Drosophila melanogaster: one gene and its partner. The protein of the gene in region 2 purifies or fractionates together with the protein of the main gene of each other region. This does not show direct contact. Each region holds a gene or a part of one and is shown on either strand. Other genes may lie near its edges. The genes, in order: Vps45 and Syx7.

Region 1 (3,928 bases), on a different chromosome or scaffold from region 2:
GATGCGGTTGATAAAGTTCACTAGGTTTTGGCAGCCCTTAATGTGATTCTGCAGTGGATTGTTAGGCAGTGCGATCTTAAAGATGATGGCAAGATAGCTGTAGACAATGGCATCAAACTCGCTGTAGGTGTCGCCAAAGAACCACACCTTGCGACCCAATTTCCGGGAGAGCAGGTTCACCACTTTTTTGGCATTGACAACGAGCTGTAAAGTAAAATGATTAATTGATAGTTAAAGAAACGTCTTGCTTTTCACAACATTGATAAGATATATTGATAACAAAAGACCAATACATGAGAAACTGTTTCTTATTAATATAAACTGATGAAACGTTTCCAATCGAAATGCAGCTTGGGTGTAAAACATAGGTTAGATAAACAAATTAAAAAATCCTCGGATTTAAAGATACAATAATGTAATATGAGACAATATGAAATTGAAAGCACTCACGTAGTCGCCTTCGTGCTTGTCCAACTTGTCGTTCACATCGAAACCGGCCATCACCTGAACCACGTCGCAGGCTTCCCTTTGGTAGGACGACGGGTAGTAGAAGTTGAAGGGGAATGGCGTGCGCTTGGCGTAGAGGCCCCGCGTGGTTGTGTCAAAATTGTGAGGCTCTCCAAACAGGAAGTAGTGGTAGTAGGCATGCAGATTGGTGAACACCCAGTTGGCGTAGGCGGTGGACAAATGCTTTTGTTTAGTGCTTAAATGCGCATCTATCGGGTAACCCTGAAAGAATACGTCGAATTAAGCCCATAAAAAAACACATATCTATAAATAGAGCCTGCAGTTTGTTCACCCCGGCATTGTTTTGCTCACTCACCTCGAGATCCAGCACGCGCTTAATTTGCCTATAGCCCGCGAACTTCTGGTTGCCGATCTGCAGATACGGCAGCTTCCCGGCTCCCGAACGCAGCGGATTGGAGCTGGTCTGCACGTCCATGGGGCAGCGGGTGAATCGCAGGAGGCACTGTTTCCGGCAAAGAGGCGCTTTCATCAGTTTCTTTCATCATCTGCGATAATGGGCAAAACAGGCGTGCTGGCCGCCGTGTGATGCAACGGAACTTACCAGAGCACGTAAACATTCAAAATCTATGGACGGCAGTCCGTACTCCCCCTTGTACACATACAGCATGGCTCCCAGTTGCATCTCCATTGTGTCCTAGTCTATGCTTTGCTCGTACTCTTGTATTTAGCCGGTTTTCAACAGTCCACCTGCATATCAGCCATCCGAATTTGAATCCAAAAATATATGCCAGAATTTCTGGCCGACTGCTGCGAGTGCTTCAGACTGATAACTACTGGGCACTCGATATATCGCTCGAGCATATCGGCGCTTTATCGATTGCCGGCCAGGGATGTTGCTACTCGAAGTTTATTTTGGCTAATGAAAAGATACGGAATTATGTTTGAGCTTAATTGCTATTTATGTTTATCTTTATTGCTATTTTTATTATACTACCAAAAAATTGTAAGTTTTTATCTATATGCATTTTTACATATTCACATTATTTTACATTAGCTAGATCTAGCGAATGTTACCCAAATGTTTGGTCACCGCTGTTATCACGGAGCTATCGCAATTGGGGCATCTCCAACCCATCTGTTTGCGAAAAAAAACATTAATTTCTGATTTTCGCAGTAAATTAGTTAGCAGTCATGAATCTGATAAGCGGCATTAAGTTGTACATCGAGAAAATGTGCTCCGAGTCGGGACCGGGCATGAAAATCATTCTGCTGGACAAGGAGACGGTAAGTGCAAGGACTGACAATCAAATCCCCTGCCATATGATCAAAAATTCACATCATTCGCAGACCAGTATAATTTCGATGGCCTTTAGCCAATCGGACATGCTGCAACGGGAGGTGTACCTATTTGAGCGCCTGGACTCGGGAAGATCCAACGAGCGGTTAAAGTATCTAAAATGCATCGTCTTTATACGCCCCACCAAGCAGAACATCCAGCTACTGGCCAACGAGTTGCGGAACCCCAAATACAGCGCCTACTACATTTGTAAGTGGGTCAGTAGAAGCACCTTCGGAATAGTACTAAACTCATAAATAGATTTCAGCAACATCATTCCCCGGACGGACATTAAATACTTGGCAGAGTGCGACGAATCCGAATCGGTGCGAGAAGTGAAGGAACTGTATGCAGACTACCTGTGCGTCAACCCCAATCTGTTCTCATTAGGCATTCCCAATTGCATGGCGAATCTTAATTGGCTGCCGGACGCTCTCAACCGCAGCATGCAGGGCATCACAGCCGTGCTGTTGTCCCTTAAGCTGAACCCAGTGATCCGGTACCGAGCCGGTTCTCAGGCAGCGCAGCTTCTGGCCAAGCTCATATACGAGCAAATCACAAAAGAGTCCTCGCTATTCGACTTTCGCTCCAACATGGATGGCGCTGCGCCACCGCTGCTGCTTGTGCTGGACCGCAGGGACGATCCTGTGACGCCGCTTTTGCATCAGTGGACATACCAGGCCATGGTGCATGAGTTGCTGCACATAAAAAACAATCGATTGGACCTGTCCAATTGCCCCAATGTGCCGAAAGACTTCAAGGAGCTGGTCTTATCCGGTGATCAGGATGACTTCTATGGCAACAACATGTACGCCAACTACGGCGAAATCGGATCTACCATCAAACAACTGATGGAGGAGTTCCAGCGCAAGGCGAACGACCACAAGAAAGTGGAGAGCATAGCAGACATGAAGAACTTTATTGAGTCATATCCGCAGTTTAAAAAAATGTCTGGCACTGTGCAAAAGCATTTGTGTGTGATTGGAGAACTGTCGGCGCTGAGCAACAAGAGGAATCTCTTCGAGGTTTCCGAACTTGAACAGGAGATCGCTTGCAAGGCGGAGCACTCGGCCCAGCTGCAGAGAATCAAAAAACTAATTGCCGACGAACGGGTTTCCATCGATGATGCTCTTAAGTTGGTGGCACTTTATGCATTGCGATACGAGCGACACGCCAACTGCGACACATCTGGACTGCTGCAAATAATCAAAACGCGCGGTGGACGAGCGGCTATAGTGCCATCGTTGATTGAGTATGCTGGAACCCATGTACGACAAGGAGATCTCTTCAATATGGTGCGGATAACGGACGCCGTAAAGCTGACACGGAATTTGATTAAGGGCCTTAAGGGTGTGGAAAATGTCTTCACACAGCACACTCCTCTCCTGAAGGAAACTTTGGAGGACGTGTTTAAGGGCCGCGAGCTGGATCCCCTCTTCCCGGCCATCAATTCAGAGCTTGTGCCATTTCGACGACCACCGCAGGAGGTTGTCGTGTTCATTATTGGCGGTGCCACGTACGAGGAAGCCTTAGCGGTGCACCAGTTAAACAACGCCGGCTATAAAGTCATTCTTGGCGGCACCACCATCCATAACTCGCAGAGTTTTATCCAAGAGGTCGTGGCCGCCACTAGTGGCATTCAGTTTAAGCACACCAAATCCATGATCAAGTACTGTTCCACGGATAACATTTAAAGTCTATTTTGACTAGATAGCCCCAATTATATTGTTAACTATTTATTAACTAAATATGAATGTGCATTATGTATTAAGGTATTCCATGCATTGTACCAATTCAAATCCATTGGACTATTTAACCTTTTAAGCGTAACCATGTAAACATATTTATTGTTATTCTCGAGGGTAACACCAGGCAACGCCTTGGACAAAATGTATTATATACAACTATGTGTGTACAAAATTACTAAACTCTCGTTGTCCTTGCAATAATTCCACCCCGTTTCGGCAAAAAGTTCCTTGGCAACTCCCAGGCAACGTTTCGTTTGGCTCAAACAAGAATCTGATTTTTCATTGGAGGAGTATCATTGACCATCATGTCCAGCACATATTTCAATGATATCTGGCACCAATCCCAGCATGAATGCGAGCTTCTATCCACGATTGA
Region 2 (3,928 bases):
GCTGTGCAGGCGGAGTCAGCCACTTGCTTATTGACGCAATAAGTCTACAATGACAGAAGGGCGTAATTACTGTCTAGTTATTAACGGACTTAATAAATTTATTAGCAGTTTATTGAGATAACAAATGACTTCGTTGACTTCTAAGTACCTTGGACAGACCGACATAGTTGAATTTCTCGAACTCCAGACGATTCCGTTCGCCCACCACTCCACGCAGCTGTCCATCGAAGATCCTGCCTGCGGTTACCGTGGGAACGGACATACCGTCGCCCAGGAAAAATATGACATTCTTGGCACGATATTGGTTTGGTGGAGTGGATAGCTTATTGTAGAGCGTGCGCTGGGCGTCGTGAAACCAGAACTCCTTGCTCTTCAACTCGGAAATAGAGTCGAGGTCCCAGGATTGCTCTGAAAGTAATGCGATTTTAGCTTATTTCATTATAAATTAAGAATGCATATTATTCTGATTAATTGAAACCATTTTTTGTTACTAGCCGATATGCATACACATTTCAAGTACAACCTCAAGAATTTATCAATTCCAAGCACATGTTTCGTTTTACAAAACAAAAGCACAGACACAATTGCCATTGTTTTCCACTCCACTTTCGAATTAATCATTAAAAAGGGAAATTGCTTTCAGAAGATAGCACATAAATAAAACACCGAAAGAAACCTATGGAAATTAAGCATTAAAATTAATTCAAATTTAAATTTTAAAGTATTAGTCTTATATCCACTTTCGTTAAAACATTCTCCTTCGGAAAAAGTGATGTTTGACAGCTCTGTTAGCGGGTGTCAAATATTTAATTCAATTTACGAGTATTTTGCTGACGCCTTTTATACTCCGTTTAGCACTTGATTAATCAATTCTGCATATGTTTTGAGTTTGCTTTCGACCTGGCACACTCTCACTCGTTTTTCATTTATTCATTTCGGGTCTTTTGGGCCCGTTTCTGATCTCGGTCTTGACGTTACGCACCTGGCCCATATTTGTACTGGCTGCTACAGGCCGTGAGTTGGAGGGCAAGAGCCGCAAAGAACCGGAGAGCACGCATCGCACGGAATTTTGATGAACTAACTTTCGACTGGTCGGGGCGTTACGAAGTCTACGGATCGACTAAGCCGCATTTCGCAGTTGGAGGCTTATTTATACGAGCCCGGTAAGACAGGGACCGAAAATGCGAGTCGAATTATAAAAAAACACTGAGACAATAAATTAAAACCCGTCCCTGTATTATAAAGCTTCTAAATACACCTACCAACCGGAATTTCGGGATGAAAGAAAGGCATTTATGCCCTTATTCAAATTATGCAGCCAGCACAGCTTAGATTAAAATGATGTTCTCCAAAAATCAGGTTCGTTGCATTGGTCATTTGCATAATATCTTGCATCGCAGTAGGAGATGATGTAATTAGTGGATGCATCGAAGCAGCCTAATTCATTCTGCGATCTAAAGTTCATTAACCGTGCCAAACACCGGATACTGATAAATATCTCCAATACACTAATTTGTAACGTTAATTTGAATTAAGTTGCTTTTGATTTTTTTTATAAACGAGTTGCACTTATTTTGTCTACCAGTTATTTGACTTTTTTAAGAAAAGTAATAATCTTCAATTTTATTTCTGCTAAACAGGTTTCAAATACCCTGAGTTGTACAATGTTAAATTTTAAGTTTTGAATAACATTCTGGGTAAGCAAAATAGTTTTGTATACCTACATTATTATTAAATTTGGTATGAACATATTTATTGAACGGAAGGAAAACTGTCTAAAATTCGACTTATTTGTTTTATAAGGCATCATTGTTGGTCATTTTCATTTCTATACGACATTTTCCTAATCTAACATTTTAATTTTGGAGAAAAAGTGCAAAATAATAATTTATAATTTTGAATAATAACATTAAGCAGTTCATTTTAGACATGGATCGATTTTCAATAATAAATCTCAGGACTTATATACATTTTCGAGACAAAATATAGGGGGAAGAATATAATTAAAATGCAGTTCTATATATCTGCTATTTGAATGCCGCGCCAGATATCGATATAATTGAAGTGCTGTAAAGCGTAGCAAGGAAGTGATGCTAAACGCATCACGCGCTAAGGCACTTTTGGGTATTAGTCGAAAGTGACTTTCTCACAAGTTGGCAGTTCCATTCCAATTGTTGTAAAAACCTAGCTAAAATTTCAGTTTTGCGAACATTCCGCCTACTTAAATCAACAAATTTCAGATTGCGAAACGCGTAAAAAGTGCGAAGGAAATGCTCTAAGATCAAGGTCACCGGCGAAGGTCACCAACGACAGCTAGGGCAACCACAAAAGGTGTGTGGCTGTGCAGCAAACAAAGGGAATGCGAATTGCAAACATTCCGACAAACAGACAAACTAACAAACAAGCACGAATATAGAATATAGAATCAAGAACCTGGCTGAGACGCATAAAAGCGAATGTGATATAAGTGGGCCACGGGGCTAATTCGATTGTCTGTCTCTCCAGGAACAACTTGTCTCCAGCGATAACTCGAAGGTCATCAAAGTGTCTGCCTACGAAAGCATGGACTTACAGCATATGGAGAATGGTCTAAGCGGCGGGGGAGGAGGTGGCCTAAGCGAAATAGATTTCCAAAGGCTGGCCCAGATTATAGCCACCAGCATCCAGAAGGTGCAGCAGAATGGTGAGTGGCGTCGAAGCACTTGCCAACTTTCGCCTATGACTAATCTAGGTTTCTGTCTCTTTCGCAGTGTCCACGATGCAGCGCATGGTCAATCAACTGAACACGCCCCAAGATTCTCCGGAGCTCAAGAAGCAGCTGTAAGATGATTATCATTACGATCTCTTCGTTTGGAATTTAAACTGTCCCCATAGATAGAACCCATTGCAGATATACATCGATTATTCGAATATCTCTCAGACAAATCATAAATTCTAAAGACATAGTGAAGATCTCTATTGGGTGTTTACTCACAATGTCTAAAAATCTTCTTAAGCCAATACAGCCTTTTAATACATTTTGCGCACATCAACCGACCACATAAACCAACAGCAAAATAACATTGTAGTCAGTCATTGGTTTTGAAAGTTTAAACGTATCAGCACAGTGTGATTCACAAATCAAATCAATGTATAACGCACGATAAAAATAACAATCCCTTACTCCACAGCCACCAAATAATGACCTACACCAACCAGCTGGTGACCGACACAAACAATCAAATCAACGAGGTGGACAAGTGCAAGGAGCGCCACCTGAAGATCCAGCGGGATAGGCTCGTGGACGAGTTCACGGCGGCACTGACCGCCTTCCAGGTTTGTTTTTGTTCTCCCAGATAAGCAAATGGTTTTGTGAGTCATGCTGATTGTTTATCATTGGTATTTTTAGTCTGTTCAGCGCAAGACGGCGGACATAGAGAAGACGGCGTTGCGGCAGGCGCGCGGAGATAGCTACAACATCGCCCGTCCACCCGGCTCATCGCGTACCGGCAGCTCCAACAGTAGCGCCAGCCAGCAGGACAACAACTCCTTCTTCGAGGACAACTTCTTCAATCGCAAATCAAACCAGCAACAGATGCAGACTCAGATGGAGGAGCAGGCGGACCTGCAGGCCCTCGAGGAACAGGAGCAGGTCATACGGGAGTTGGAGAACAACATCGTGGGCGTGAACGAGATATACAAGAAGCTTGGCGCCCTGGTCTACGAGCAGGGACTGACGGTGGACTCCATCGAGTCGCAGGTGGAACAGACTAGCATTTTTGTCTCGCAGGGCACGGAAAATCTGCGCAAGGCGAGCTCTTACAGGGTAAGTGCCGCCCCTACAAGGTTATTATTTTAAATAATTTAAATATGTTGTTTATTAGAACAAAGTGCGCAAGAAGAAGCTTATTTTGGTGGGCATCCTGAGCGCCGTGCTGCTGGCCATCAT

The links.
Region 1: the proteins of Syx7 (region 2) and Vps45 purify together in Drosophila melanogaster (affinity purification with western blotting, with the first as the bait; one study listed by BioGRID). This does not show direct contact.

What each region holds. Positions count from the first base shown.
Region 1 is NT_033777.3:9,562,367-9,566,294, forward strand, and holds Vps45 (vacuolar protein sorting 45), read left to right. Parts: upstream 1-1,557; 5' UTR 1,558-1,659; coding exon 1,660-1,752; intron 1,753-1,815; coding exon 1,816-2,014; intron 2,015-2,065; coding exon 2,066-3,498; 3' UTR 3,499-3,726; downstream 3,727-3,928. Other genes in the region: CG9393 (uncharacterized protein), read right to left, coding at 1-204, 451-729, 824-970, 1,070-1,156; CG16789 (uncharacterized protein), read left to right, coding at 3,858-3,928.
Region 2 is NT_037436.4:21,443,693-21,447,620, forward strand, and holds the start of Syx7 (syntaxin 7), read left to right. Parts: upstream 1-2,141; 5' UTR 2,142-2,331; intron 2,332-2,468; 5' UTR 2,469-2,562; coding exon 2,563-2,683; intron 2,684-2,750; coding exon 2,751-2,820; intron 2,821-3,170; coding exon 3,171-3,315; intron 3,316-3,388; coding exon 3,389-3,805; intron 3,806-3,863; coding exon 3,864-3,928. Other genes in the region: Alp1 (alkaline phosphatase 1), read right to left, coding at 1-44, 149-408, 983-1,058.